Linked DNA regions of Oryctolagus cuniculus. The protein of the gene in region 6 interacts with the protein of the main gene of each other region in a pairwise test. Links are inferred from orthologs where the notes say so. Each region holds a gene or a part of one and is shown on either strand. Other genes may lie near its edges.

Region 1 (4,095 bases), on a different chromosome or scaffold from region 6:
TTAATTTTTAAAGGGTTGTGCAACTGTCAGTTTAAAAGACTACATCCATCGTTTGTTAGCCTCAGAAGGGAAATAAAGCTGATTTTCTACTTCAGGAAAATCTACTTCAAGTGACTGCAGGAGTGAGGTTGGCCCCAACTCCCTAGGAGGTTATTTTACGTTTGCACTACCGAGGAGCCCTGGATTTCTAGCCTCCCAAGTTTTTCCAGGTCTTTATCTGAACAACTCCAGATGGAGGGGGAAATTTCGGTGTCCCCTTCTCCCTTCTCATTTCCTGAAGTAATTTCACTTTCCAAAAAGGTGGATTCATGGTTCCAAAAAAAAAAAAAAAAATTATCTACTTGCTTCCCGTCTAGTTGCAACACATTTGCAAAAAAACGGCACCGCCGTGCGGGCGGGCTCCGAGTTAAAGCACAACTTGGGCAGGGGTCAAGGTCTGAAGTCCGCGCCTCCAGCGCCCGGGGCCCACCGCCCGGGGCCCTGCCATTCACGCGCATTCCCCTGGCGTCTCCGGAATGAGGGGGAAGTTCAAGCGAGGGTAGCAGAGTTCACATGAAGGTCAAATGCCCAGAGGTTTCTGGTCACTGTGTTGCTGCGAGCACATGTCAGGGAAAGGTGACCAAACGCCGGAGGCCCCGCAGGCCGGCGGCGTGCGGGGCTCCCGGCGCACAGAGCGCGCGCTGCGGCGGCCGCAGCGCCCTGGGGGCTCCGGGCTGAGCCCCCGCCCCGAAGGCACCCGCAGGCCATTTTCTGGGTTGCATCAGGTGGGGGCGACCCAGGTCCTGCCAGGGCCGCGAAGACGCCGGGTGGGGACACTCCCTCCGCGTCCTCCAGCCCAGGCCGGCCCCGCAGCCAAGCCCGACACGCCCTCTGCGAAGGACACACCCGCCTCGAGGAGGGTGGACCCGCGCGCAGGGCCCGCCGCCTGGTCCTCACCCGACCCCCGCGGACGCGGCCCAGCGCGGCGCCCGGACCTCACGTGTCCCTCCCGGCCCCGGGGCCGCCTCACGTTCTGCTTCCGCCCGAACCCTTCCGACTTCCGGCAAAGAGTCCCCCCCGGCCCCGCACCTCCGCGCCCACCGGGCACAGCCACCCGCAGCCTCGGCGCGCCAGGCCCCCAGCCCCTCGCGATGCGCCCGGCAGCCGCAGCTCCTCCGAGCCCCGCGGCGGCCGCTCCGGGGCCGCGCCGGCTCGCCGCAGCCAGGTGGCCCGGCAGGCGCTCGCTCCCGCGGCAGGCGCGGAGGGGCGGGCGGGGCGGCGGCGGCGCGGCCCGCGGCCCGTATCCCTCCGCCGCCCCTCCCCCGCCCGGCCCAGGCCCCCCTCCCTCCGGGCTGCGCTCGCCTCCCTCCGGCTCAGACTGTTTTGGTAGCAACGGCAACGGCGGCGGCGCGTCCCGGCCCGGCTCCAGTCGGCTCCTCGGTCTCGGCGGGCCTCCCCGCCCCTTCGTCGTCCTCCTCCTCCCCCTCGCCAGCGCGGACGCCCCCCCGGCCGCGCCAGCCCGCGCCTCCCCGCTCGGCGTCCGCGCGTCCCCGCCGCGCTCCGGCGTCTCCTCGGCGCGCCCGGCTCCCGGCTGTCCCCGCCCGGCGTGCGAACCGGTGTATGGGCCCCTCACCATGTCGCTGAAGCCCCAGCAGCAGCCGCAGCCGCAGCCGCAGCCGCAGCCGCCCGCGGCCGCCAGTGCCCGTAAGCCTGGCGGCGGCGGCGGCGGCCTCCTCACGTCGCCGGCCGCTGCCGCGCCGCCGCCGCCGCCGCCGTCCTCGTCCTCAGGCTCGTCGCCCTCGGCCGCGGCTCCCTCCTCGTCCTCGGCGGCTGCGGCGAGCGCAGGAGGCGGGCGGCCCGGCCTGGGCAGGTGGGTGTCGGCGCCCCAGCCCCCAGGGCTCCGGGCCTGCGGGAGCCGCGGCCTCGCGTCCCCTCCCCCGCGGCCCGCACCGCCGTCCCCGCCCCGTGACCGGCCGGCTTGTGGTGGGGGGGACGCGATGGGCTGGGGGCCCGCAGTGGGGGGGGGGGCGCTCTGTCCGCAGCGGGGTGGGGGGGCGCCGCGGGATTCCCGTGGGATCGTCGGGCCGCGTCCAGCCTCCTGCAACATCGCCACCCCCTCCGCCAGCGGTCAAGATGGAGGGACCGGGCAGCCTCCCCTTCCCAGGGAAATGCTGGGGAGGGGTTCTCCGGTCTTGGCAGCTGTCAGCCCCCGTCCCGCCCCTTTCAAGCCTCCTTCGCCCCAAACGGGAGGATATGCTTGGGCAGCATCCTCACCCCCGGGTATCTGAGTGTTCGTGTTGGAGGGGTCAGCAGGTTGGGGGGTCGCGGACTGCGGAGGGAGGCGGGGGGCAGTGAGGGCAGCATCACCCCTGCTCGCGTCCGGTCTCCGCGGCCGCCGCGTGCTCGGGGTCTCCCGCAGCGGCCCGCCCTCCCCCGCCCGGGCCTGGGTGGGAGTGCCCGGCTCTGCTTCCCCCGCGAGGCCTCTCCGGCGCGCGGCGGCGGCGGCGGCCGAGCCGCATTGCTGTGCCGGGGCCGCGGAGGGTGGGGAGGGGGCGGCGGCCGGGAGCGGGCCCGCGGCGCGCTGCCCCACCCCCACCCCGCTCTCCGAGGTTTCCCGGGGCGAGGGGTTGCCGCAGGGCGCGGAGGTGAGGGTGCTTGCGCCCCGTCCCCGCGGGTGTGCTGGAGGCGGGGGGCTCGCTGTGCTCCGGGCTGAGTTGGACTCTGGAGGGTGTGTGCGTGCAGGAGGCCCTAGGGCGGGTGGTTGTCAGTTGGTATTTTGCGAACCACGAAGATGCTTAGTGTCAGGGAAAGGCGGGTGTCCGACTCCATTCCATCGTGGCCGGAGTCCGCCAAGGGCACGCAGGTTGTCCCTGAGTGCACGGTGCGGGCCCTGCCGCGGAGGGCCGGTGGGATAAGGGGATCTTCAGCCCGTTTCCAAGGAATGCTCACTTAGAGCACAAGTTAGCCGTTAAGATGGGTCAGCCGGTGTTTAAGGGATTCCGCCTTCCGTGTTGACCGGACCCCCTCGCACTCCTGTTCGCCCGCTGCGGCCCTCCAGACACGCTTAGAGTGGTCTCCGTGAGCTGAGGGCTCGCACAGTGCAAGTCCACTGGGGGTTCTGGAACTAAACTTCCCTTTCTCAGCGCATCTACAGGAAAATGAAAACATTTCAAATACAAGTTTTGTTCTAGCTTCTCTTAGGAGTGAGGAAGAATTGGCAGATATATTTAACTTGTGCAAACAGTTAGCAAAGCTAAAGCTTTTAAGTTGCATTGGCTGTACTAGGCTTAAGTATTAGACTGTAACAAAGAATCTTTTCCCAAGTTGTTTGGTCTGAGATTGGGATGTTCCAGTTACAAAACTATTCCTTGAGGCATCGCAGAAATTTAAGGTTAATGTAGCGTTTTCCTTGCTTTGAGTTCTTTTAACTGGAGGTATGCATTGTAGTCTTCATTTTTCATAAATAGGCCAAGTTTTGCTTAATGTATGGGATTCGTTTTTCAGGTCTTAAGTAATGGACTTGTCAGATTGCTTTCAGTTTTGCTCACTTTATTGAGTTCTTTGTATATCAGCAACAGCTTCTAGAGTTGCCCCGTGTTTGTGTATATCAGCAATTAGAGTAAGTTTCTGGGAGCATGAGTGAAGAAAGGGCAGCACTGGGTTTGACAAGAGTGATTTATTCTTTGTCATTCCTTTTTTTAATAAAAATATTTGTTTATCTGAAAGAGTTATGAGGAAGGAGGGAGGGAGAGAGGAGAGAGAGCTTCCATCTGCTGGTTCACCCAGATGTCTGCAATGGCCAGGGCTGGGCCAGGCCAGGGCCCGGAGCTTCACTGGTGTCTCGCCTGCGGATGGCAGGAGGCCGAACCCTTGAGCCATCCTCCACCGCTTTTCCCAGGTGTGTTAGAGAGCTGGATGGGAAGTGGAGCCGCTGAGACGCTGACGTCACAGGCAACGGCTTTATGGCTGTGCCACAACACCGTATATGCCACATAGAATTTCAGAGTGGCTCTTTTAGGAAAGAACAGTGCAACCACAATATTAAAATTTGAGCATAACTTTTTTTTTTAAAGATTTACTTATTTATCTGAAAGAGCTACACACAGAGAGAAGGAG
Region 2 (3,500 bases), on a different chromosome or scaffold from region 6:
CAACACAAAACATGGCCCAAGTGTTTGGGTCCTGCCACCCATGTGGGAAACCCAGATGGAGTTCCAGGCTCCTGGCTTTAGCTTGGCCCAGCCCCAGCCATGGACATCATTTAGGAGGTGAACCAGTGGATGGAAGATCTCTGTCTCTCTCCCTCCCTCTCTTCCTCTGTCACCCTGCCTTTTAGATAAAACTAAATACTAAATACACAGATATTAAAAAGAAAAATCCCCCCGTGTGAGTGCCCATCCAGCCTGGCGTGAGCCAAGAGTGCCTGTGCCTCCCACCCACAGGTGAGACCTCAGTTATGGTGGCAGCGCCAGCCGGGTAGGTGAGGATGGTGTGGTGATGTGTTCAACCTGGCCGTCCAGAGTTTCAGTGTGGGCCACACGTAGGCTCCAGAGCTTCAGTCCTCCAGAGCTAGAGCCTCTAACAGCAGTAATCTCCTCCTAGGCAGTCTGTGATGGGATTCCTTTCTCCAGTTGCTTCTCTCAGCCACGTCAGACAGGGCGTCCTGGAACTGCTGCGTGCACTTCCCGGGGGGGGGGGGGGGGAGGTACCCAGGCCGCTGTGATGAGGTCACCTGTCTTTTTCTGCCTTTGTCCTTAGGAGCCAATGAGGTGCTTCTGGTGGTTGGGGGCTTCGGAAGCCAGCAGTCTCCCATCGACGTGGTAGAAAAGTATGACCCCAAGACTCAGGAGTGGAGCTTTTTGCCCGTGAGTGAGGGGTGGTTTGTGGGGAGAGAGCTTCAATGTGCACAGACGCTGACCTGGGTTGTAACGAATGCAGCTGGAAGAGCAGAAAGGCCCACAGGCAGCGTGATGTTCTCACCATCACGGCCTTGTCCGTGCATGGAAGATGCTCAGGGAGCCGAGGTCCTGACTTTAGAAAGTTAGGCTTTAGAAATAAGTGTCTGTGGCCCTGTGTCAAATGAAATTCAGCTTGTCCCACTGGTCAAGTGCCTGTGTAGGTGGCCTGCATGACTCCCAGCATGCTTCATTGGTCATGCTGTGTCCTACTGAACTCAGTGTTAAATTGGGGTGGACATTTGGTGCACTGGTTAAGATGCCACTTGGGACACCCACGTCCCCTACCAGAGTGCCTGGCTCACGTCTCAGCGCTGCTCTGTATTCCAGCATTCTGTCCAAGTGCACCCTGGGGCCAAACGGTTGATGACTCAAGTACTTGGGTCCTTGCCACCCATATGGGGGCCTAGGTCGAGTTCCTGGCTGCTGGTTTCTGGCTTTTGGCCTGGCCCAGCCCCAGTTACTGCAGGCATTTGGGGAATGAATCAGTAGATGGGAGGTGTCTCTCTGTCAGCCTTTCATATAAATTAAACAAATAGATGAAACTGTTGAAGATTATTAAATTGAACTCGTGTTTATTGAACTCAGAAGTTCATATTGTTCTCCCTCGGTATGTGTCTATTTTAGTGTTGAATGAAGGATAATTTCTGAGAAAGCATGGAACTTTTTTGATCGATCCTCCTCCTACCCTTTAGGGCCTATGAATTCTGGCCCTTTGATTAGCAACGTGGGAGAGCTGTGCCAGTCAGTTAGCCCAGGCCTCTGGAAAGGAAAGAGGTGGTGGGCAAGAAAGCCGTTAAGTCTCGAGGCAGCTTGGGAAGAGGCAGCTGTGTCGCGGGCCTGCATCTCCACGCAGCACAGCAAGCCTTGCGTTCAGTGGACAGTGAGGCCACGTGCGCAGGAACCAGTGCCTCAGGGAAGGCTGGTGGTGGCAGGTGAAGCGACAGATGTGCGTGGACACACACAGCGGGCTGGCGAGAGCTGCAGCCCCAGACTCACCTGCCGGAAATGCTGTGCACCTCTTCCCTCCCAACCCCTAGAGCATCACGCGGAAGAGACGCTACGTGGCCTCAGTGTCCCTCCACGACCGGATCTACGTGGTCGGAGGCTATGACGGCCGCTCCCGCCTCAGTTCCGTGGAGTGTCTGGACTACACGGCGGACGAGGACGGGGTCTGGTACTCGGTGGCTCCTATGAACGTCCGCCGAGGCCTCGCGGGAGCTACCACCCTGGGAGGTAGGTAGGTTGGGTGCACAGGGCTGCATGTGCCAGATCAGGGTTCCCACCTCTCCTGTTGTTAGGAACATGAAACCTGAAGAAAAAATTGGTAAGCCCACGTGGTCCTTTTTGCCCTAGAAGTATCAGTTACAGAAGCTATTTAATATTTGTGGATATTTCAACACTGACTACAAAGTTGGTAAATTCCAGTACGCTGGCTGGGGAACTGGCAGTGGGTGTCTTCCTACAGGCTCCCATGTTGGCTTCAGACACTTTGAAGGATTTCATCGTATCCTGTTCTTTTTAGATGTCTTGACTGTGCTGCTGTCCTTGTCCAGAAGACGTAATTAAACATTTTGCTTTTGCTCCCAGGCGTTTGAAGAACCTGTGGAGAGTTTGTAGAGGAGGCTGGTGCTGTGGCTCACTAGGATAATTCTCTGCCTGCGGCGCCGGCACCCTGGGTTCTAGTCCCGGTTGGGGTGCCAGGTTCTGTCCTGGTTGCTCCTCTTCTAGTCCAGCTCTCTGCTATGGCCCGGGAGTGCAGTGGACGATGGCCCAAGTCCTTGGGCCCTGCACCTGCATGGGAGACCAGGAGGAAGCACCCAGCTCCTGGCTTCGGATCAGCGCAGAGCCGGCCGTAGCAGCCATTAGGGGAGTGAACCAACGGAAGGAAGACCTTTCTCTCTGTCTCTCTCTCACTGTCTATAACTCTCTTTCTCTCTCTCTCTCTCTCTCACTGTCTAACTCTGCCTGTCAAAAAAAGAGTTTGTAGAGTAAAGAGTCCTTGGAAATGTGTCATTCTCTCAAATCTACAATTTGTTCATTCTGGGCAGATATGATCTATGTCTCTGGAGGCTTTGATGGAAGCAGGCGTCACACCAGTATGGAGCGGTACGACCCAAACATTGACCAGTGGAGCATGCTGGGAGACATGCAGACAGCCCGGGAGGGTGCTGGCCTGGTAGTGGCCAGCGGAGTGATCTACTGTCTAGGTATGCAGCCTGGGGTGCAGGAGCCTCCGGCTGGGGGTCCCTTTGGGCCAGAATGAAGTTCATAGACTCCTGCAGCGAAACCCTGGTCTGTGTCAGAACGCGTCCCCTCGTGAGTGGCAGTCCGCTCTGTGTGTGCAGTGTATTAGAACTGTGGGAATGCTAGGCCGGCGCCGCAGCTCACTAGGCTAATCCTCCGCCTTGCGGCGCCGGCACACCGGGTTCTAGTCCCGGTCGGGGCGCCGGATTCTGTCCCGGTTGCCCCTCTTCCAGGCCAGCTCTCTGCTGTGGCCCGGGAGTGCAGTGGAGGATGGCCCAAGTGCTTGGGCCCAGCACCCCATGGGAGACCAGGAGAAGCACCTGGCTCCTGGCTTCGGATCAGCATGGTGCGCTGGCCGCGGCGGCCATTGGAGGGTGAACCAACAGCAAAGGAAGACCTTTCTCTCTGTCTCTCTCTCTCTCACTGTCCACTCTGCCTGTCAAAAAAAA
Region 3 (3,966 bases), on a different chromosome or scaffold from region 6:
TAAAAGAGAAAACTATTCCACCCAAAATACAATGTCATTCAGTTTTGATAAAGATGCAAGAAACGAGTCTCCAGCAGCATTGTGGCCCAGTGGGGCTAAGCGGCTGCTTGGAACGTCAGATCCCATAGTGGAGCCCAGGTCCAAGCCCCAGCAGCTCCACTTCCAATCCAGCTCCCAGGGAAGACGGCAGAAGACAGCCAAAGTGCTTGGGCCCCTGCACCCACATGGGAGACCCAGATGGAGCTCCTGGCTCCCGGCTTCTGGCCTAGCCCAGGCCGGATCGTAGAGGCCAAATGGGGAGTGAACCAGCCCACAGAACTTTTTCTCTATCTCCCCCCAACACACACATACACGCACGCACACACACACACACACACACACCTGTAATTCTGCTCTTCAGGTAAAGGAAATGTGTCTTCAAGGCAAGCGTGCACTCCCGGGAAGCTGTGATCTCCAGCAGGCGCTGACCTTAGTTTCCTAACAATTCTGTGCTGTGGACGACTGCACGGCTGCCGGTCCGCGTGCTCACTGCACCGACTTTGATGCACAGGCGAAGTCCCCGCGGATGCCTTGGGTGACACCAGCTAAGAGTGCCGGGCACGTGCAAGACAGGGTGGGAGAGAAGCAAAAACGCCCTCCTGTGCAGGGCGAGGAGGATTTGGGGGACAGGAGCCACCTCGGGGCGCCTCTGGGTGCAGTTTCCCTAAAGCGTATAATAAATCCTCTTCCCTCCCCGGAAGCGCTATGAGCCTGAGACACCCCTTTCTCAACGCTGGGGAAGTGTGAGTGCTGCCGGGGATTTAGGAGAGGTGAAGGCGGGAAGGCCCACGGAAGCGCCCCCTCCGTGGCCCGCTGGCCCTCGACCCGGTCCTGCTGCCCACAGGTACCCGGTCGGCTGGCTTCAAAACTATCACTTCTCCAAAGTCGGCCCAGTCCAAGGAATGAGTCACTTTGCTGGAGGTTGATGAGTAATCTCAGGTGTCAAGGCGAGGGGAGGGGGCGTCAGCTCCGCAGACGGATGCGGAAGCCTCGACTTGCCTAACACTGCGTCACTGCGGGCCCAGTGGGGTCCAGATGTGATGGGCACCGACGGGTTGCCGTCTCGGAAACTCTCAATCACGCCGGCAGAGAAGGAAGAGGCGGCTAATTAAATATTGAGCAGAAAGTCGTGGGGAGGGGGGGCGGGTCACGTGGGTCCGGAGGCTCCGCGAGCCGGGGATAAAAACCGCGCGGCTCCGAGCGGGCCACAGCGCGCGCTCACCTCCTCCCGCACCGCGCGGCGTGCGCTCCGAGCAGCCCAGGGACCCGCGGGCCTGCCGTCGCCGTAAGTGCCCGCGCTGGGCCACAGCGCAGCCATCCCGCGTGGCCGGGGTGGGAGACTGACCCTCTTCTTTGTCCCGCGGGAAGGGAAGTGCGATTTGGTGGTTGGGGGCTGGGGGAGCCTGGGACTGCTGGGATTTGGGGAGCAGAGGCCCGGGACCCAGGCGCGCTTCTCATCCCGGTTCAACTCATCCCGGGTGCCGTCTGGGGGCCGAAAATGCCGCTGCCCCAACTCGCCGACAGCCGCTCCGATCAACGGGCTCCTCCACCCCACCTCCCGTCCCCTTCTCTCCCACTGCTCCCCAGAAAGCCAACATGAAAATCCTCGTGGCCCTGGCAGTCCTGGCTCTCGTCTCCACCCAACTGTCTGCGGAAGACATCCGAGCCAACGATGATCTAAATTATTGGTCCGACTGGTCCGACAGCGACCAGATCAAGGTGAGCCCGGGTCCGGGAACAGCCCGCGCCGCTCCTCCGGGGCTGGGACCCCACGAAGTCTGCGGGTCCGCCCGGCCGCGGCCACAGCAGTGCGGGCGCGCAGTGCTGGGAAGTGGCTCCACCACCCTACCCCACCCCACCCCCTCGCTCCCGCCCTGGTTCTGCACCCAGGACCCAACTTTTCTCCCTGGGGCTGCAGCGCAGGGTCTGGGATCTCTCCGAGAGAGTCCAGTCCGCCCCTACGAGCCCCGGGTTGCCAGAAGGCTGGAAACCTCGCAAGGTTTCATCCCCGAGCGACGCTGCTCACGCAGGTGCAGTCTCCCGCCCTGTCCGCGCGCTGGGAAACACACGGGGTCCCCGGGGACAGGAGCGCTCAGCGGGGGCTCACTGGTCGTTGCGAGTTCATTTTGCGGACCTGCGAGTTTCGCTTTAGGTGGCTCTCGTACGTGTTGGCGCCAGGGAGCCTGCGGTGCGGGTTGCGGGGAAAGCACCCCCTCCCCCCACCCCTGCAAACACACACACACCTGTGTGTGTTCGGGGCAGCAAGAGGTCGCTGGAGCCCGCACCAGGGAGAGACAAAGTCACGGCGGAGGGCTGGAGGGGCTCGGGGGAGGGCGGCTCTGCAGATGAGCAGGGTCCGTGGAAGCAGAGGGGAGAGCAGGGCTCCGGGCCTGAGGACACGGCGCGGGGCTGGAGTGGTGCGGGAGTGGCAGACCGCGCCCGACGTGGGGCAGACCCCCCTCCCCCCTGGGCAGAGCTGGCTTCCCCGCCCGGGCCTTGGCTCGCTGGGGCTCGCCCAGGGCCGGGGCGCGCTTTGGGAATGGCACGGGCCACCCCGCACCTGGCTCCGTGGCCCACACGCCCGTGTGTCCGCGCGTCTGTCTTCCAGGAGGAGCTGCCCGAGCCCTTCGAGCACCTGCTGCAGAGAATCGCCCGGAGACCCAAGCCTCAGCAGTTCTTTGGATTAATGGGCAAACGGGATGCTGGTGAGATGGGCAACCCTCCCTGCCTGCTCGCTCGTGTCTTGCTCCATGAGTAGATAAGTCCATCCTAAGAGCGGTGGGACTCGGGACCTCTCTAAGGCGCTGTGCACACTTGCCTGCAGAGGGAGGGCTTCGCCGGCATTCGAGTGCACAAAACCGCCAAATCCAGGACCCAGCCTTAGCTCAGCGCGCCCCTTACTAAGGATACCAATTAGCAAGGGAGGGGCGGGCGGGGGCGTTCTTGGGGAGGCGTCCGCAGGGTCGTGGTGCACGTGGAAGCTGACCACCCCCCCCCCCCCCCCCGGGTTAGGCGAGACCTGGCTGTGCCGAGGCTCCAGATGGAAACACAGTTTCCCTGGGTTGATGGCGACATCAGTGGGACGTAAATAGTTAATGCCAACTCCTCTCTTGTCAGATTCCTCAATTGAAAAACAAGTGGCCCTGTTAAAGGCTCTTTATGGTAAACACTCTATCAATCTTTGACTATCGTGAATTCTCATTAGAAAAGTGAAGGAAATCTTGTAGGGCTTGAACGCAGTATCCTGGTTATGCTGTTTGGTAAAGAGATGGGTCTGTCTGTCTCTCTCTCTCTCTCTCGCACACGGGTGGGGTGTCAGGCCTTGAAGATGAGAGGTGGCACAGCTTGACAGTTAATGCCAGACCTCAGGTGTCCCAGCATCTTGGGTGTGAAGCCTTGGTCTAGAGAAAGCCCTCGGTGATGGTTCTTTGGGCTGTAAACTAGTTTGCTTTTTATTATGAATAATCTGGTTAGCCTTTATGGTCCCGCTATATTTCTCAGGGTGGGACAGGAGTGGAATATGTTGCATATTTTGAAAATCGATGTATTTTAGCAGCCTCTTTAAGAGATGTGATAGAGCTCTGCACAGATCTTGCACGTGTTGGTTAACTGTTACCTTTCTTCCTGCCAGGACACGGCCAGATTTCTCACAAAAGTAAGTTCAAGATTATTTTGGCATTTCTCAAGTGCAAATGTTAACAAGACTGAATACCACTTTATGCAATAGCTGACCTTAATTTCAGTCTTAACATAGACTTAATATGTCAATGGAGACTATATAAGAGTGGATGAGACTCCTATTATATAGAATATGATTGCGTCAAGCTCTGTTTCTTAAAAATATGGCTCTTACCAAAAAGATACTTGATGTTTTAAAAAGGAAAGGAAGCTGTCCTTTAGCCCCTGTAAATTGTTAGTTTTTGGTAA
Region 4 (4,080 bases), on a different chromosome or scaffold from region 6:
CACTAAGGTATCACTAATCTACAATATGTGTAAAGTAAAATTGATATTATTAAATTTATGAAGACTTGGAGTCAATATTCTACCAAGAATGTGGTAATATTGCAATGTTATTTCTACACAAGGTATAATCAGATGGTTGAATTTCCTGTGATTTTTGTGGAGAGTACTTTAATATAGTGTCATTTATCCAGTGAATTGGTTGTGGTCTTCAGTTGCTGTAAAACTTGTATATGTTAGTTTTGTCAAATTATTCTTTGATATTTAAAATTGCCTTCTTCCCTTGTTATTATTGTGGTATTTATATTTGATTGTCATTTTGTTTCTTCGTTATTACTCTAAATTCCTTTTCACTTATTTTTGGAAGAGTATGAGGTGAGCTTTGGAGTATTTTTCTGTACAGAAGTAAAATTCTGTAAAATATGAGAAAAGCTATGGTAAAAATTTAGTTATTTATTTATTTTAAAGATTTATTTATTTATTTGAAAGTCCGAGTTACACAGAGAGGAGAGTCAGAGAGAGTCTTCCATCCTCTGGTTCACTCCCCAATTGGCCTCAATGGCTAGAGCTGCTCCGATCTAAAGTCAGGAATCAGGAGTTTCTTTTGGGTCTCCCATGCGGGTGCATGGGCCCAAGGACTTGGGGCCATCTACTGCTTTCCCAGGCCATAGCAGAGAGCTGGATCAGAAGTGGAGCAGCCCGGTCTCGAACCAGTGCCCATATGGGATGCTGACACTTCAGGCCAGGACGTTAACCCGCTGCACCACAGCGCTGGCCCTGGTAAAAATTTAGATTACTCAGTTGATTCAGAATACATTAACATCCTAATGTTACAGGTAAAAAATACACTGTAGTGTGTTCATTTTAATCCCATATCTCCACTTGATTTATCAATAATTTTAAGTACTGTGGGCAGAATTTCCTTTGATATAAGATTTACAGATATCCCACTGAAAACCATGGAAAAGGAAAGTAAAATTGTATCATGCATCTATATACGTATTACCATTGATAATATTACATAATTACAGCATCTCCTGTGATTTTTAAGAAACTGCAAATGTATGGTAATGGTTCTTGAAGGAACATAAAAGCACCATTAGCACATGAACCTATTCTCCTAAGAGATGATACTTATTTAGGAAAATAGCATTGCACAATCTTCTTTTGGTAGTGTTTTGTTATAAGAACGTTCTAACATGTATCAAGTTTCCAGTTGAGCTTATTGTAGTAAACTGGATTCAGAAAGCTAACAAAATGTTAATTCGCAATGCACAGAAATCAAAATGGATATGATCTTGTTGTGGAGTCTCCTATTGCTTATTTCTGGAAGTCAACCCTCAAGGTCCTTGGCTCAAAAAAATACCGAATTTGCGGTAGATCTCTATCAAGCTATTTGCTCATCACATAAGAACAACATTATATTTTCTCCCTTTGGAACAACTTTGGTTCTTGGAATGGTACAACTGGGAGCAAAAGGAAAAGCCCAGCAACAGATAAGACAAACTTTAAAACTTCAGGAAACCTCACCTGGTGAGAACATGACACGTTTATGTATACCTGATAAGATATGGTGGAATTTATTTTTAAAATATTAGATAAAAGTTCAAAAGTTCAAGGTCATTGAAATTGAAAAAATTTTTAAAAGTTATAGAAAATATAAAATTGTAAGAAAATGGGGAATTGTAAGTATAGTTTTCATTGTTTATAATCTTTTCTAATGAAAATGTTACAAAAATAATTTACTAAGAAATTAACATCTACACAGATACGAAATTGTGTGTGTTTGCACAGCTTTTCTGGTTTGTTTCTTTTAGCCAGTTTCAGTTAATTGAGATTATGCCTGCATTTGATTCTCTGGTTTCCAGCTTTCTGCTAATGTGTACCCTGAGAGGCAGTATGATGGCTCAGTACTTGGGTGCCTGCTGCTCATGTGCGATTCCTGAGTTGAGTTCCTGGCTCCTTGCTTTGGGTCTGGCTATAGCAGGCATTTCGGAAGTGAGCCAACAGAGGGGACTGCTCTCTGTCTCTGTCTCTCTGCCTTTCAAATAGATGAAGATTTTTTTCCAAAAAAAAAAAGTTAAAGAATTTGATTAAGGAAAATTATATTATTTTTAAAAATATATTTATTGTATGCACAACAGTTTGGAATCTGTAAATATGAAAGATCTTCAAAAAGTTCACAAAAAATAAATATTATGAAAACACACTATGCATGAATTTCACATTTTTTCACTAAAATAAACCTGTGTTTTAGTTCTACTTTCCCCACACTTTTTGAAATCGCATCATACAATTTTAAATTATTTCATTTTATTACCTCTCTGGAAATACCATTACTTAATCATTCTTTAATAGGTTGTTTTCAACATGTCGCTTTAAAAAATAATGCACTCTTACCCACAATGAGACCAAGGAAAAGCATTCGTTTATGTACTTTAGAAGCATATTGTTAATATTTTAAAAGAAATTTTCAAAAAACCATTTAAATCACGCATCAGAGGCATTTTTGCTGTGTTTCTGTGGTTGTTCTGGAATCTCCCTACGGGGAGCTACTGCTTTCAGCACAAAGATGTTGCCCATTTCCCTGGCCATCTTGTGCCCTCAATTTTCATAGTGGTTTAATTTTAAACATTTACATCAGTGTCAGATAATGTGTCTTAAACATCAGTGAAGATATCTGTATTTTTGATTTGGGAATTTAATTGCCATAACAATATTTGGCTTGGCTCCAAGTAGCTATATTTAGGGTTGTATTTTTCTGGAAATACTATTTACAATGTTTTCTTTGCTTCATTTAAATAAAGGCAATTTTATATAAAAATAAGCTGGTGACAGAGAAGGTAATTACAAGAGTTTTCCTTTGTGAACAGTATGTGCTGAAGCCACTGCATTCCAGATTGAGTCTTGATTAATCTCAGCAAATCTCACAACGCCACTTCCAGGAACATTTACATCCATGATACTGCTTCAAAATGTAATAGAACATTTATGAAGATACGTAAAGTTGATTCCCTGATAAGCTAGCAAAATTAGAGTCTCTGAAATGTAAATGCCTTTAAATAGATCCATCTTGAAAACTGTGGATGGTGAACATACTAATCATAATAACAGTGATGACACTATCATAAAGCCTGTATCAGCCACTGAATTATATGCTAGATATATATTACCATATTTAATATTTATACTTACTCTGTGAGCTAAACAAGCTTGCTGTAGAAATGAGAAAACTGAGGCAAAGAAAGTTTAAGTAATTTGCCTAGGAATAATTTCAAAATTAATAAAGTGAGACTCTTGGTAAGAGTATTAGCTAAGAGTTTCATATTTTCCTTGGAAGCATATATATCAAAAATATGCATTAACATTTAAATACATATAACAAAATGTATCAGATGAATTTTCTCTTATACCCTGTTAGGGGCAGAGAGAGACACAAATGGAGAGTAAGTGCTAAAGGTGAAGAAAGACTATCAAGAAAGAAGAACATAGGAAAAAAAATCTGAAAAACAAGAGCAGGGGAAATGAGGAAATATAGGAAGAGGAGAGCCAGAGCTAAGAAAGGGTACAGAGGAATGGACTAGTGAGTTGCAAGACTAAGGAAAAGGCCCAGGGAGTCTGGAGCAAGACGGGTAGGTAGGCACTGAGGTAAAGATAGGAGGCAGTGCCTGGCAGAGCCATATTGGAACCAGAGCTAAAAGGGAAAATTAGGAACACTGATCCTGTCTGGAGGAGCATTTAAAATTGTTGTATCTTATTCTTATTAAGTGTTTCACATTGACCTTGGTTTTCAAAAAAATATTGCATTGAAATATTATTTATCTCAGCAACTGAGGTTTTTTTTTTTTTTTTCTACATGTTCCTATAAAGTTCATGACCAAGGTGAGTGTTTCATTGACTTACCTTATTCCTGTCTCTGCTTTCAATCCCCTACTTATTTTCGAAAGGTACTATTGTTGAGGCAATCTCATTTGATTTTTCCTGTTAACAACCCGTGGTCCTGGCCTACCATTTCCTTCTAACACCTGGCTTATTCTCAATGACCTACAGCTGGGCATGCAACAGCTGGCACCTAATCCCAGT
Region 5 (4,180 bases), on a different chromosome or scaffold from region 6:
GTAAAGCTTTTGAATATACAAATTATTTTTTTCTCATTAAATAACCAAATTCATATATTTTGGAAGAAAAACTGGGAAAAAAACACAATTCAGAAATCTAATCTTCCCTTAACATATGCATAGCCTGGGGCAGGCCCTTGGTCTAGCTGTCAAGCTCACATCCGACACTGGAGCACCAGCTCTGGCTCCTGATGCCAGCTTCCCATCAGTGCAGACCCCGAGAGGCAGCAGAGAGGGCTCCAGCAACTGGGCTCCTGCCACCCACGTGGGAAACTTGGATTGTTGTCCTGGCTCCTGGCTTCAGCCTCAGCCCAGTCTTGGTCATTGCAGGCATTTGTAGAGTAAAGCAGCAAATGGGATCTCTCTCTCTCTCTCTCTCTCTCTCTCTCTGATAAATAAAAAATCTGTATTTTTCAATTGAAAAACACACTAGGGCGTTTGCCTCTAATGCATACCCAACATTGTTATTTGTACATATACTGACTCATGTAAACCTCTCAAAAGTTCCAGGAGCTGGGTTAACAGGGTCTGCATTTCACAGATGAGGAATACAGGTATAGATAGCCTAGTGATGTGTCCAAGGTCAGGCCAGCAACTCTAGACGGAGCAGGGTTCAAGGCCGCAGCGCGGCTCCTGAAGCAGCCCTCTCAGGCGGTCATCCTGCTCTCGGTCAGACACGGCCCTGACTGCTGCAGCATCCACCGTAAATCGCCGCTCACTCTCTTAGTTGATGCGGTTTTTATACGTATTTACCAGATTCATCACCTCTGAACAATTCAGACCGTGCAACAAAAATCCATGTCATTGAAAGGTCACTGCAAGTCTTCCAACGGAACGAGCATGAATAGGGACCTCAGTGTCACTAAGATCGTTCATCTAAATGACAAGCTGCTGCTGACTTGAAGTCACAAAACGGAGCTTGAGTAGAAAGGGACAGAGGGACGCTTCCTCTCGCTGGGCCTCGACAGTGGCCTTCAAGTTCTTCAGGAAACAGAACGGCAACTGTGGTTGCGGATATCACCTTCATCTATTACTTGGGGAAACAAAAGCCCTTTCTATTTCATTTCATTCCAGGCTGATTTACATGCGTATTTTTTCGCCTAACTCAGAAATTATAAATAAAATCTCTGTAAGAACTAGTTACTTTCCCTTTCTTTTAGGAGACCCCTAAGTGCTCTTCCAGGAGTCCGAATGCCATTCCAGTAAATGGCAAAGCCAGTTAACATTGTGCATAAGTGCGTGTGTGTGTGTGTGTGTGTGTGTGTGTCAATTTTGGTTTCTTTTGTTTTTTGTTTCTAACCACAAAACCAGAAGGGGAAGTGTGGGAGCAGGTGGGCTGGGCTGTGGCAAACAACCTCATGACACATCTCTCCGCCTCCCTGTGTTGCTGGAGGATGTTGGAGCAGCATTTAAATCCCGAGAGGCTCCGGCTGTCAGCAGCAGGAGGAGGCAGAGAGCGCAGCATCCTCTGGGACTGGACTCATCTCGGGCCAGTTGCAGCCTTCTCAGCCACACGCCGACCAAGGTAAGCCTGCAGCCTGCTCCGACTGTGTTGCTGTCCATACTTTCAGTTGAATTTCATGGGCAAGTTCAAGTTGTAAGGAAAATAGTTTAAGCTGTGATGCTGTAACAGTTAGACTGCAGTTTTTGTGTTGTTGTTGAATAAGCAGATCAGATATGTTACAAGTCTGGAACCAAAGTGCTCAGATATTTTGAAAGCCAAATGCAAAACTTAGAAACATACCTATTGAATTCTCCAAAGACCTGAAGCAACTGCTTCCAGTCAGAAAAAAGTAAAATTCTATGCCCCCTTGGAATGAGTGTGTGTCTTTTAAATGGCTGGATGACTGTGGAGGCATTAAATAAAGAATAATCTTTTGTGCTATTGTAAACCACTGATAATGCTATTTTTAAATGATTTGGTCTATCTCATTTTCAAGGAAAAAATCCTTTCTGCATATTTTACTTCTGTGTTTAGCTGTTAAAAATGTCAACAAGAAATTTTTTAAAACCTGTATGCTTTCACTATTTTCTTCTTCATTTCAAACTTCTAGACTACCTTACCTAAATAACTAACTTGAAAGATAGCTATAATTCAACTAAGCAGCAGCTTCTTAATAATTTGGGTGTAAGAATGTGTTTTAAATGCATGCTGGAGAAATGGGGACAGCAAATTTCTTTCATTTTTTTTTTGCCCTTTGTGTTTTTCTTCTCTGAATATTAGGTACTCCCATGCGTGCTTATTATTTTAATTAAATTTCTGTTGATAATGCTTTTAGGTTTAGATATCGAGTAGGGGTGATATAATCTCTGGAACTCTAAATTAAAAACTGAATAAAATGGAGACTTGTAAAATTCCCCTCTCACTTGTCTAACAGTGAAGTGGAAAATGGAAGTGACAAACATGAATTCCAAAGACCATGTTACAAACAGACGAGTTAGTCCAACAAGTAGAATACATTCAACAGAATGTTTTACTTGTGATTGTTGATTATTTTGTAATGTGGCAGATTTTTACATTTTAACCTATGAAGCTGTTCTTACAAAATATTTTGCAGGAACAATCACCACCATGAGAATCGCTGTGATTTGCTTTTGTCTCTTGGGCATGGCCTACGCCCTCCCGGTGAGTGCTGCTACTCTTACAGGAAATTCACAGGAATAAGTGAACTGGGTGCCTTCTTGTGCTAGAACACAATCCCGCAGTAACGTTGCTTCCTCTTTTCTGTTTGAAAGGTTAAACACGCTGATTCGGGCAGCTCCGAGGAAAAGCAGGTAAGCACCTTTGAAGTCTGTCATCTAGTGAGATTGGTCATGTATTCATTGCCAGGAGTAGCCAAACATCTTTGTTGCAATTTGACTTACCTTCATGGTCAAGCCCATTCATTTACAACCCTGCTAATTGACCTCTGTTATGAATCTAGACCCAACCTAAGCACAGTATAGTTTTTGATAAATGCGTGTTCTTAAAAGCAAGCTGGGCTTGTTTTAACATGATAAAATAATTATCTGGGTCATAATCACATGTGAAGTGAATTCCATGAAGTGGTGTGACTTTCTTTCCATGAGTCAACCTGCTTTTCTAGAAGCAGAAAATTCCATCCTTTGCTTTACTTAGGGGAAAGCTATGTTTGAAATTCACCTTGGCTATGGCTCAGGACTGTTGTCTGACCACAATATCGCCTAAGAAATTTGTAGGACGCCCATTGTGCAAAGAAGGTCTACTTGTGCTGTTTGTATCTATTGTGCTCGTCAGCTGACTTTAGATCACATTTTTCAAACCAAGCATAAGACCAAACCAAACTATTATAATGATTTGACCAACACCCTAGAGGTACCTGCCCCTCCACAATAGATGAAGCTGTGCCAGCCACACAACAAATGGGCCTTGTTCTGAGAAGCTTGGACAAAAAGGCACACAGAGTTCAATTCCAGATGAATAGAATAGAGGCCAATGCAGAGTTGCCTAGGGTCACGGCCATTAGACTGCTTAATGAAGACATGAAGAGAGGTGCTCTGTGTGTGTGTGTGTGTGTGTGTGTGTGTGGCTGTGCATGTGTGTACATGTGTCTGTTGATTTGCGAACACAGATAGAATCACAATAACAAAGTAGAAAAGCTAACATCTCCAAAGAAGGTACAAGCCATACTATTCAAGGAAAGAACTGGTGCCTTTTAAAACAGAATAAAATCTGGCAAGGGTACATTGATGAAAGGCACATAGGCCATGACATTATGTCACTAAAGTCATGTACCATTGCTAGGAGAAATTCTCTCTCTTGCTCTCTCTCCCCTAGCATATTATAGTTATTTTCTAGACAAATAAGTCTCTGGCGGCTTAGAAAAATAGAATTCTTGTGCAACAATGTTGATATATTTTGTACTGTCTGATAAGACAGCCACTGGACACACATGGCTACTGAGCACTCAGAATGTGACTATGGCACCGCATTGGCCTGGTGGTTAAGATGCTGGGTAAAGACTCCATGTTCCATCTCAGAGTGCCTGAGTTTAATGCCCCATCCCAGCTTCTGATTCCAACTTAACGGCTTATACAGACCCTGGTAGGTGGCAATGATGGCTCAAGGGATTGGATCCCTGCCACTCTTGAGAGAGCTGAATTGGGTTCCATTCCCTGGCCGGCACTGCAGCTCACTAGGCTAATACTCCGCCCTGCGGCG
Region 6 (4,199 bases):
CCAGAAAATGGTTAAGTCCCAAGTTAAATATTCAGTATAACAGTAGTATCTGCAGACTACTTACTAGTTTCTGGTGGGTAATCTCTGAAACCATAGGCACTAAGGGAAGAATGGTGACGCTGTGGTCACTGGGTTGTGCTGAGGGAGGAACTGCTGCTGAATGACCAGGGCTCCATTGCCAAATTACTTACTACCCGCGGACTACGACAAAGATTTACTCTGGGACTTGAGGCTTGCTATGGACTTGTGATTTACTGTGTAAACAGATCACGGTTTAAAAAAAATCAAAGCTAAATCCGAGCGAAGGGTATATGAAAGTTCATTTTACTAGTCTATTTTGGGGGTAATGCTTTGAGATTTCTCAAGAAAAAGCTAAGATGTAACAATTTATTGGAGCAGTAACGTCGAACTGGGCCCGTGTTTGTCACTTCCACCACCTAGGTTTGTCTAGGCGTACTCACCTATAAAACAGATGTTAGTACCCATTTCCAAGGTCAAAACTTTAAAATATGTAAAACGCTTATTATACTGGCTGGCACACTGAGCAGGTGCTTATTTAAACTGAACCAGTCCTGGGATCTGGGTATAAACTACAAATCGCAGAAAGACGTGGGGGAAAGGGGGCGCAGAGAAGCGGTAGTCCCCCCACCGCACCCCTGCGGAAGCCCCTCGGTGGCCTTTCAATTCTCCAAGGTCAAGGTCTCCTCTTTCGGTCCAGTCGGGTTCCATCGCGACAATTCTCAAACTCGGAAAACACTTCTCTTGACAAAAGTCCTGAAAGACAGCGGCAGGCTTAGCCTTCCTACAACATGGCGTGACTCCCTGGCCGCTCACTGCCCATGACGAACAAACACTACGTTCAGTCCGCAAAACGCCCCAACCGGCACAAGCGAGCTCCGGCCCAACGACGCAACCGCACGGAGAAACATCTCGCGAGCCGCCCCCAACAGCCTACGGCAAAGGTGACTTCCGGAGGCGCCGGAGCAAAGGTGCCGTGAGGACGACCGCGAGACGCTAGGAGGCTTAGGTGCCTAGGACAATGCCGCCTAAAATTCTCCGCTTACCAGGATTTTAACATAGGTTAACGGGGCAAAATCTCCAGGCTCCAAACTCTAAGGTCTACACGAATAGTTCGTAGTCTCTCTTGAGGCAGTGGCAGTCTCATCGGGCAATTTTTTTCTTCAGGCATTTATAGTGGCCACCTCAACCCCCAATCGCTGAAGCGCGCGCACAGGGGAAGTAACCACCGCCAGAGGGGGTGGGTGGGCGGAGTTTAAATGTGCACGCATGCGTAATGAGACTTAACGCAGGCGCAGTACGGTCCCCGGGCGACGACGGCGGCGGCTCCTCGGGGTGCTCGGCTCCCTCCCATCTAGGCCGGCCCCTGCCCGTCTCGCCCCCAGCAACTCACTGTTTGGGGCTACGGACTTTCTAATCGTGCCCCACAAAAGTAACGCTTGGGGACCTGGGGGAGCCGGAAGTACCGCCTCGTGATTCCCCAGATACTATCGGGGAAACGGAAGTGACCGTCGGAGGCAGGTTGGGGGAGACCGGAAGTGACGGTACCGTGGGGAAGTCGGGGGCGGAGCCGAAGGGTGGTGGGGAGTGTATGTGTATGGTGTTTGGCTGTGGCTGTGTGTTGGTTGTGCTGCTCTCTTGGAACACCGAGGGAAGGCGGAAGTGGGGGGGCAGTCAGCTAGCCGGTCCAGCCCCCCGTGAGTGTCCGCCGTCCGGGTCTGTAGTGATTTAGGCGGGTTCGATGGGCGTGGCGCGCGTGCGCGAAACCACTTTCTCCGCGGAGTCTGGCGCGACTCCCACTCTCGGGTTGTCCCAGGGTTTGTCGACTTCTGGGACCCTTGTAGTGCCGTGACTGGTGATGACACGGGTCTCTGGTCCCATGCTTGCTTCTTTTCCCGTATCTTAAGCCGACTGACCCGCCCTCATTGTGATTGGCATTGTGGAGCTCCTCCTACCTCCTGTCCTTCGGTTCCCTGTGCCGTCGATCTGCCCTTTGTGTTTCTCTCTCGTTGCCCCGGAATCGGAAGGGGAATGGGGGCGGGTGTGAGTGTGTGTGCTTGTGCGGGAGAAACTTTTTAGGTATTGGGGCGGGGATTCAGCCCGGGGAGGCTTCCTGGATCTAAAATCGGCTCCGGGCGACAGTGGACCTTCCTCTCCCCCTTCTTTCTTAGAGAGGTGTCGGCCATGGAGCCCAGTGATAGTACCAGCACCACTATGGAGGAGCCTGACAGCCTGGAGGTGCTGGTGAAGACCTTGGACTCTCAGACTCGGACCTTTATTGTGGGGGCCCAGGTGAGACCCCGATACTTCTGGAAGACATCTGTGGGCCCTTTGTCCCGGGGGCCCATTAGACGGAGAAGAGCCTGATGTTCTAGTCCTTGAGTTTTCATTGATTTCTTTGTTCACTTTTTTAACTGTTGAGTGAGGCAGATTTTTGTTCTGCCTTCTTTCAACTTGGTGGAAGTCAGTGCAGAGAATAGGAAGGAGGAATCTGTACGCTGTCATCTTATGTGGCCTCCAGCCCAAGGGGACAGCCTTTGGGAATGGACGTGATACAGTGACCCCCAAACAAGTGTGTCTTCTATAAACAGAAATTGGTCACATGGGTGTATACTCTTTTTTTTCCTGTCTCCTCTTTCCCCTTCTCTTTCTTTCTAAAAAGAGACAGAGCTTCCATCTGTTGGTTTGCTTCCCAAATGCCTGCAGTGGCTGAGACTGGGCAGGAGCTGGAAGCCAGGAACACTATCTAGTTGGTTGATCCATCGATTTTGCCTCCCAGGGTCTGTGTTAGCAGGAAGCCGGAGCCAGGAGCCAGAGCTGGGTATTGACCAGCCACTCTGATATGGGATGTGAGCATCTTAATTGCTAGGCTGGGTGCTCACTGCCTATACTGTTTTTTAAGTATGCGCATAAGAATTCGTAATGAATAGAGCTTTTGTAGACAAGCGAGTGGAATTACTGTATTTGCAGCATACTTTGAAACTCTGTTTAATGCTGTGGACACAGCTGTCTGTGCCTTTACTCCTGAAATAGCTAGAGACAGAATTGTGAGCAGACTGATCTATAGTTTCATAAAATATCACATGTTATTAAGAAAATAATATGGGCCTTTGTGGTTAGATGTATGTAAACATTCTAGCATTTCATAAGAGTGAGTTTTCTAGGTAGGAAAAATGACTTTCTTTTTTTCTCTCCTTCCTTCCTTCTTTCCTTCCTTCATTCTTTTCTCTCTTTCTCTTTTTTTTTCTCTCTTTCTTCCCTTTCTTTTTGCTACCTTTTCTTCTTGGCTAGTCTTCCCTCACCTGATTCCCTAACCCATTCTCCTTGCCATTGTTTCTGTCTTTGAGATTACAGGGTTGTCCTGGTATCATTTTGTGTTTGGGAAGGGGTCACTGGTAGCACTGAGCGCACCTTCCCTTGGGAACCAGGCAAAGAAGGAGAGAGGGGGCTGGCAGTCGGCTTTCTTGTTTCTTATCCACATCTTCTCCTGGTCTGTGCCATGAGTGTCCTTGAGTTTACTGCTTCTGTTTTGAGTCAAGCTTTGCACGATAGTTACCTCACATAGGAGACAATTGGCTAGTGATTCTATATGAGTTCTACCTCTCACCTTCCCTAATGCATGGTCCCTCTTCTGTACCTCCTCTGTCCTTTATCTGACTCCTGTGTGTGTCCTTTCTTCCTTGCAGATGAGTGTGAAGGAGTTTAAAGAGCATATTGCTGCCTCTGTCAGCATCCCCTCTGAGAAACAGCGGCTCATCTATCAGGGGCGAGTTCTGCAAGATGACAAGAAGCTCCAGGAATACAGTAAGGGGGTGGGGAGGCACTGCAGAGGTAGAGGATAGTGTTCAGAGGGATGAGCTGAGGCCATGGGTTTACCTGATCATACAACTATTTTGATGTATGTCTTTTTCTTTCTGCAGATGTTGGGGGAAAGGTTATCCATTTGGTGGAACGGGCTCCTCCTCAGACTCAGCTCCCTTCTGGGGCATCTTCTGGGACAGGGTCTGCCTCAGCCACCCATGGTGGGGGACCCCTGCCTGGTACTCGGGGGCCTGGGGCCACAGTTCATGACCGGAATGCCAACAGCTATGTCATGGTTGGAACCTTCAATCTTCCTGTAAGCTTGTGTTTTGCATGGCAGAGTTTTTGTGGGGAAGGGTAGTTTGGTTGGTTGTGGTATC
Region 7 (3,500 bases), on a different chromosome or scaffold from region 6:
ATGACTTGATATAACCCATTTGCTTTGCTAAAATTAGAGGGAAAGGTGGTACCAAGGATACCCTTCTTTTTTCTGTCTTAAGCAATAGTAAATGCTGTTGCAAGTTACTGAGACAAAGAAAAAGTAACTAGTGTTGGGCTGGTGATGAATTCAGTTTGGATGTATTAAATTCTGGTTCCATCAGGCATCCAAGTAATAGACAGCTGGACATGTGGGCTTGGAACTCAAATACAAAGTGCTGGGAAGTATGTTATAGTTGAAGGCTTAACTGTGTATTAAGTGGATTAGATTCCTCAGAAGAGAAGGAGGGGCTAAATTATGAAGCCTTTCACTTTCTGACACTTCATCTGGCACTATCAGAATCAGCTCATACCTCAATCTACCATTCTCTAGCCATCTCATCTCCTTTGATCTTCAACTTCATTCTACTTTGCCACCAAGGCCCGTGACTGCTCTATGGGTTTTATAATCATTCAGAACAGCTCCATAGAGAATTTTGGTCCCCAGTGTTGAATAGAAATTCAGTAACTGACTCTGTTCTCTCTCAGATGCCCTTACTCCCTCTGCTATTCACCTTCAAAATGATGTTAGTCCTGTAATCCCCTCCTCTTATTTTCTTGCAGTCTATCAACTTCTTTTTTTTTAAGATTTATTCATTTATTTGAAAGTCACAGTTACAGAAACAGTGGGAGGGAGACACACACACAGATTGAGAAAAAGAGAGAGAGAAAGAGAGAGAGAGAGAGAGAGAGAGAGAGAGAGAGAGATCTTCCATCTACTGGTTCATTCCCTAGATGGCTATAATGGCCAGGGCTGGGCCAGGACAAAGCCAGGAGCCAGGAGCTTCTTTCAAATCTCCCACATGGGTGGCAGGGGCCAAACAATTGGGCCATATTCCATTGCTTTTCCCAGGCCATTAGCAGGGAGCTGGATTGGAAGTGGGGCAGCTGGGACACAAACTGGCACCTATATGGGATACTGGTGTCATGGGAGCAGTTTTACATGCTAAACCACACTCTGGCCTCCATATCAACTTCTTAGTGGACATTTGAACTACTGTCACCATGGTAATCCTGGATCAATCCTATAATCCATTTCTATTTTCCTCCCCAGCTTGTCAGCTCACATTGCACTATCAAATCTTTTTTTTTTTTTTTTTTTTGTTTTTGTTTTTTTTTGACAGGCAGAGTGGACAGTGAGAGAGAGAGACAGAGAGAAAGGTCTTCCTTTGCCGTTGGTTCACCCTCCAATGGCCGCCGCGGCCGGCGCGCTGCGGCCGGCGCACCGCACCGATCCGATGGCAGGAGCCAGGAGCCAGGTGCTTTTCCTGGTCTCCCATGGGGTGCAGGGCCCAAGCACCTGGGCCATCCTCCACTGCACTCCCGGGCCACAGCAGAGGGCTGGCCTGGAAGAGGGGCAACCGGGACAGAATCCGGCGCCCCGACCGGGACTAGAACCCGGTGTGCCGGCGCCGCTAGGCGGAGGATTAGCCTAGTGAGCCGCGGCGCCGGCCACTATCAAATCTTAGTCTCCACCTTTGATAAGTCCTCAGTAAGCTCAACATAACACACCATAACTTTTTCATATTTCTTTAGTTCCATTCTCTTCAGTTCTTAATCATGACTGTCTCCATACTCCCTTTATTTTCAGAAGAAGACCTCACCTGTTATTTTTCTGAAACCATTGAGACCTACATGCATGAATTACCTGAACTTTCCACCCCACACCCCTACACACACCATGTGTCCCCCTTCCTATTGCTTCCTTCTAGTTTCCAAAGACAGTTACTTCTGTCAATTAAGGCCAACCCAGCTTCTGTTTTCTTTATTCCATCTCTTCTGGAAACTTGTCCATTAGAATCTCCTCTGTCTTCTATGCATTTAACTTGTTTCCAGATTTTGCCCTTTCCTTCCTTCCCTAGACAATCTGTAATCATGATCTGTAAGTCCTCACTTCGTAGTCACTTCTCTGTCTTCTACTCCTACTACCTGACTGAAATTTCTTTAAAAAAAAAAAAAAAAAAGACACTAATGCCATCCTTTCTGCTAACCCCAGAGGGAACTATGTAATTCATCCTCCCCTGCTCTACTGGATGCTATGGGCTATTCATATGTGTTCTGCTGAATCATCATTTCTTCTCAGCTTCCTTCAACAATTTCTCCTCTGCCTTCTCCTTAAATGTTGTCCTTTTCTGGAACTCCCGTCTTATCACATACACATTCTATCCTTTGGTTAAATGTCCAACTGTTGGGGTCATTGCTAATTCCTAATCCATGTTTCTGCCCGTTAGCATCCAGACTCACACATCTGCTCACCTGCTACTCCAACCTCATCTCGCACAGCTCTCCAGTACCCATCATACTCTTCATCATAAGGAAACTGCATCCAGTTCTCCTGAATGTACTGCTTTACAAAACTTCCATTTATCCTAGGTGACTCTCTTCAGGCAATCAGAAGCCATCGCCCGATTTTCAGGGTTCTTCCTCTTTCTCTGTATGTATATACACCCTTCTGTAATCCCACAGATCTCCATAGAGCCTGACATTCACCTCATTCTATTGTAATTTACATGGGTTTTCACCTTTGAGAATATAAAAAGTGTACAATGTTAAGAAAGTACTGTGTACTTGTTAAAAAATTATCAGATCCCGGCCTGAACTCTAGTCTCTGTAAAGGCTGGAGCTACTCAATAAAAGGGAAGAGAAATGTTGACAGAGAAGAATAGGAAGCAAAAAACTTTTAAAAATAGGTACTTGTAACTTGGAGCTAGTGACCGTGGGTAGACAAGGGATAAGAACCAAGAAGGTTTGGTACTAAAACAGGACTAACTAGTAACTGTTTTATCTCAACCTCAAAATTCTTTTCCTTATTCTTATAGGAATTATACTAATAATTAATAAATACTCAAGAAAATATTCAAATAATATTCAAGAAAAAGTATTCTCTTTCACCTTCTTTTTTCTTTTATTTTAGCAAACAAGTCCTGTCAGTGCAATGCTTGTGCTCGTGAAGTCACTGACAGGACCCAGAGAATACATCGTGGATCTGGAGATGCTGACAGTCAACAGTATAGGAACCTTCCGCACAAGCTCAGTGTTGCGATTGACAATAATCGTGGGGCCATTTGCATTTTAGTCTCTTGTAAGAGTCCACCACAGGCATTTTAAATCAGCCAAAGAATATTGTTACCTTAAAGCACTCTTTTATTTATAGACATATCTAGTACGTCTACATCTATATACTTTACACTCACCCATAATTCAAACAATTACACCCTGGTATAAAGTGGGCATTTAATCTGTAAAGATTCAAAGTTTGTCTTTATTACTGTATGTAAATTAGACATTAATCCACTAAACTGGTCTTTTTCAAGAGAGCTAAGCATAAACTATCTGGTGAAACTTGGATTTTTTGCTGTAAAAGTGGGACCGAGAAATGAAGATCTTTCGTGGTGCTTAAGGAAACTTGCCATAGCTCCACCCACAGTCTCATAGGAGGCA

What was found.
Region 1: the proteins of BAG6 (region 6) and ATXN2 interact in binary tests that used the Homo sapiens proteins (3 or more experiments, as listed by UniProt). The link is inferred for Oryctolagus cuniculus from reciprocal best matches to the Homo sapiens genes BAG6 and ATXN2.
Region 2: the proteins of BAG6 (region 6) and KLHL12 interact in binary tests that used the Homo sapiens proteins (3 or more experiments, as listed by UniProt). The two-hybrid records come from large-scale screens. The link is inferred for Oryctolagus cuniculus from reciprocal best matches to the Homo sapiens genes BAG6 and KLHL12.
Region 3: the proteins of BAG6 (region 6) and TAC1 interact in a two-hybrid assay, tested with the Homo sapiens proteins (2 studies listed by BioGRID and IntAct). The link is inferred for Oryctolagus cuniculus from reciprocal best matches to the Homo sapiens genes BAG6 and TAC1.
Region 4: the proteins of BAG6 (region 6) and SERPINI2 interact in a two-hybrid assay, tested with the Homo sapiens proteins (2 studies listed by BioGRID and IntAct). The two-hybrid records come from large-scale screens. The link is inferred for Oryctolagus cuniculus from reciprocal best matches to the Homo sapiens genes BAG6 and SERPINI2.
Region 5: the proteins of BAG6 (region 6) and SPP1 interact in binary tests that used the Homo sapiens proteins (3 or more experiments, as listed by UniProt). The link is inferred for Oryctolagus cuniculus from reciprocal best matches to the Homo sapiens genes BAG6 and SPP1.
Region 7: the proteins of BAG6 (region 6) and EFEMP1 interact in binary tests that used the Homo sapiens proteins (3 or more experiments, as listed by UniProt). The two-hybrid records come from large-scale screens. The link is inferred for Oryctolagus cuniculus from reciprocal best matches to the Homo sapiens genes BAG6 and EFEMP1.

Annotation. Positions count from the first base shown.
Region 1 is NC_091452.1:8,999,888-9,003,982, reverse strand, and holds the start of ATXN2 (ataxin-2), read left to right. Parts: upstream 1-1,295; 5' UTR 1,296-1,613; coding exon 1,614-1,849; intron 1,850-4,095. UniProt on the Homo sapiens protein: Involved in EGFR trafficking, acting as negative regulator of endocytic EGFR internalization at the plasma membrane.
Region 2 is NC_091444.1:18,641,575-18,645,074, reverse strand, and holds part of KLHL12 (kelch-like protein 12), read left to right. Parts: intron 1-607; coding exon 608-714; intron 715-1,844; coding exon 1,845-2,040; intron 2,041-2,855; coding exon 2,856-3,014; intron 3,015-3,500. UniProt on the Homo sapiens protein: Substrate-specific adapter of a BCR (BTB-CUL3-RBX1) E3 ubiquitin ligase complex that acts as a negative regulator of Wnt signaling pathway and ER-Golgi transport.
Region 3 is NC_091447.1:38,674,634-38,678,599, reverse strand, and holds the start of TAC1 (protachykinin-1), read left to right. Parts: upstream 1-1,166; 5' UTR 1,167-1,324; intron 1,325-1,626; 5' UTR 1,627-1,635; coding exon 1,636-1,758; intron 1,759-2,647; coding exon 2,648-2,744; intron 2,745-3,156; coding exon 3,157-3,201; intron 3,202-3,670; coding exon 3,671-3,694; intron 3,695-3,966. UniProt on the Homo sapiens protein: Tachykinins are active peptides which excite neurons, evoke behavioral responses, are potent vasodilators and secretagogues, and contract (directly or indirectly) many smooth muscles.
Region 4 is NC_091435.1:113,053,650-113,057,729, forward strand, and holds the start of SERPINI2 (serpin I2), read left to right. Parts: upstream 1-1,280; 5' UTR 1,281-1,283; coding exon 1,284-1,530; intron 1,531-4,080.
Region 5 is NC_091439.1:77,729,253-77,733,432, reverse strand, and holds the start of SPP1 (osteopontin), read left to right. Parts: upstream 1-1,380; 5' UTR 1,381-1,525; intron 1,526-2,558; 5' UTR 2,559-2,572; coding exon 2,573-2,626; intron 2,627-2,736; coding exon 2,737-2,775; intron 2,776-4,180. UniProt on the Homo sapiens protein: Major non-collagenous bone protein that binds tightly to hydroxyapatite. Appears to form an integral part of the mineralized matrix. Probably important to cell-matrix interaction.
Region 6 is NC_091436.1:138,962,309-138,966,507, forward strand, and holds the start of BAG6 (large proline-rich protein BAG6), read left to right. Parts: upstream 1-1,399; 5' UTR 1,400-1,539; exon of another isoform or gene 1,540-1,715; intron 1,716-2,189; exon of another isoform or gene 2,190-2,193; 5' UTR 2,194-2,202; coding exon 2,203-2,310; intron 2,311-3,704; coding exon 3,705-3,822; intron 3,823-3,938; coding exon 3,939-4,135; intron 4,136-4,199. UniProt on the Homo sapiens protein: ATP-independent molecular chaperone preventing the aggregation of misfolded and hydrophobic patches-containing proteins.
Region 7 is NC_091433.1:146,726,815-146,730,314, forward strand, and holds part of EFEMP1 (EGF-containing fibulin-like extracellular matrix protein 1), read left to right. Parts: intron 1-2,973; coding exon 2,974-3,135; 3' UTR 3,136-3,500. UniProt on the Homo sapiens protein: Binds EGFR, the EGF receptor, inducing EGFR autophosphorylation and the activation of downstream signaling pathways. May play a role in cell adhesion and migration. May function as a negative regulator of chondrocyte differentiation.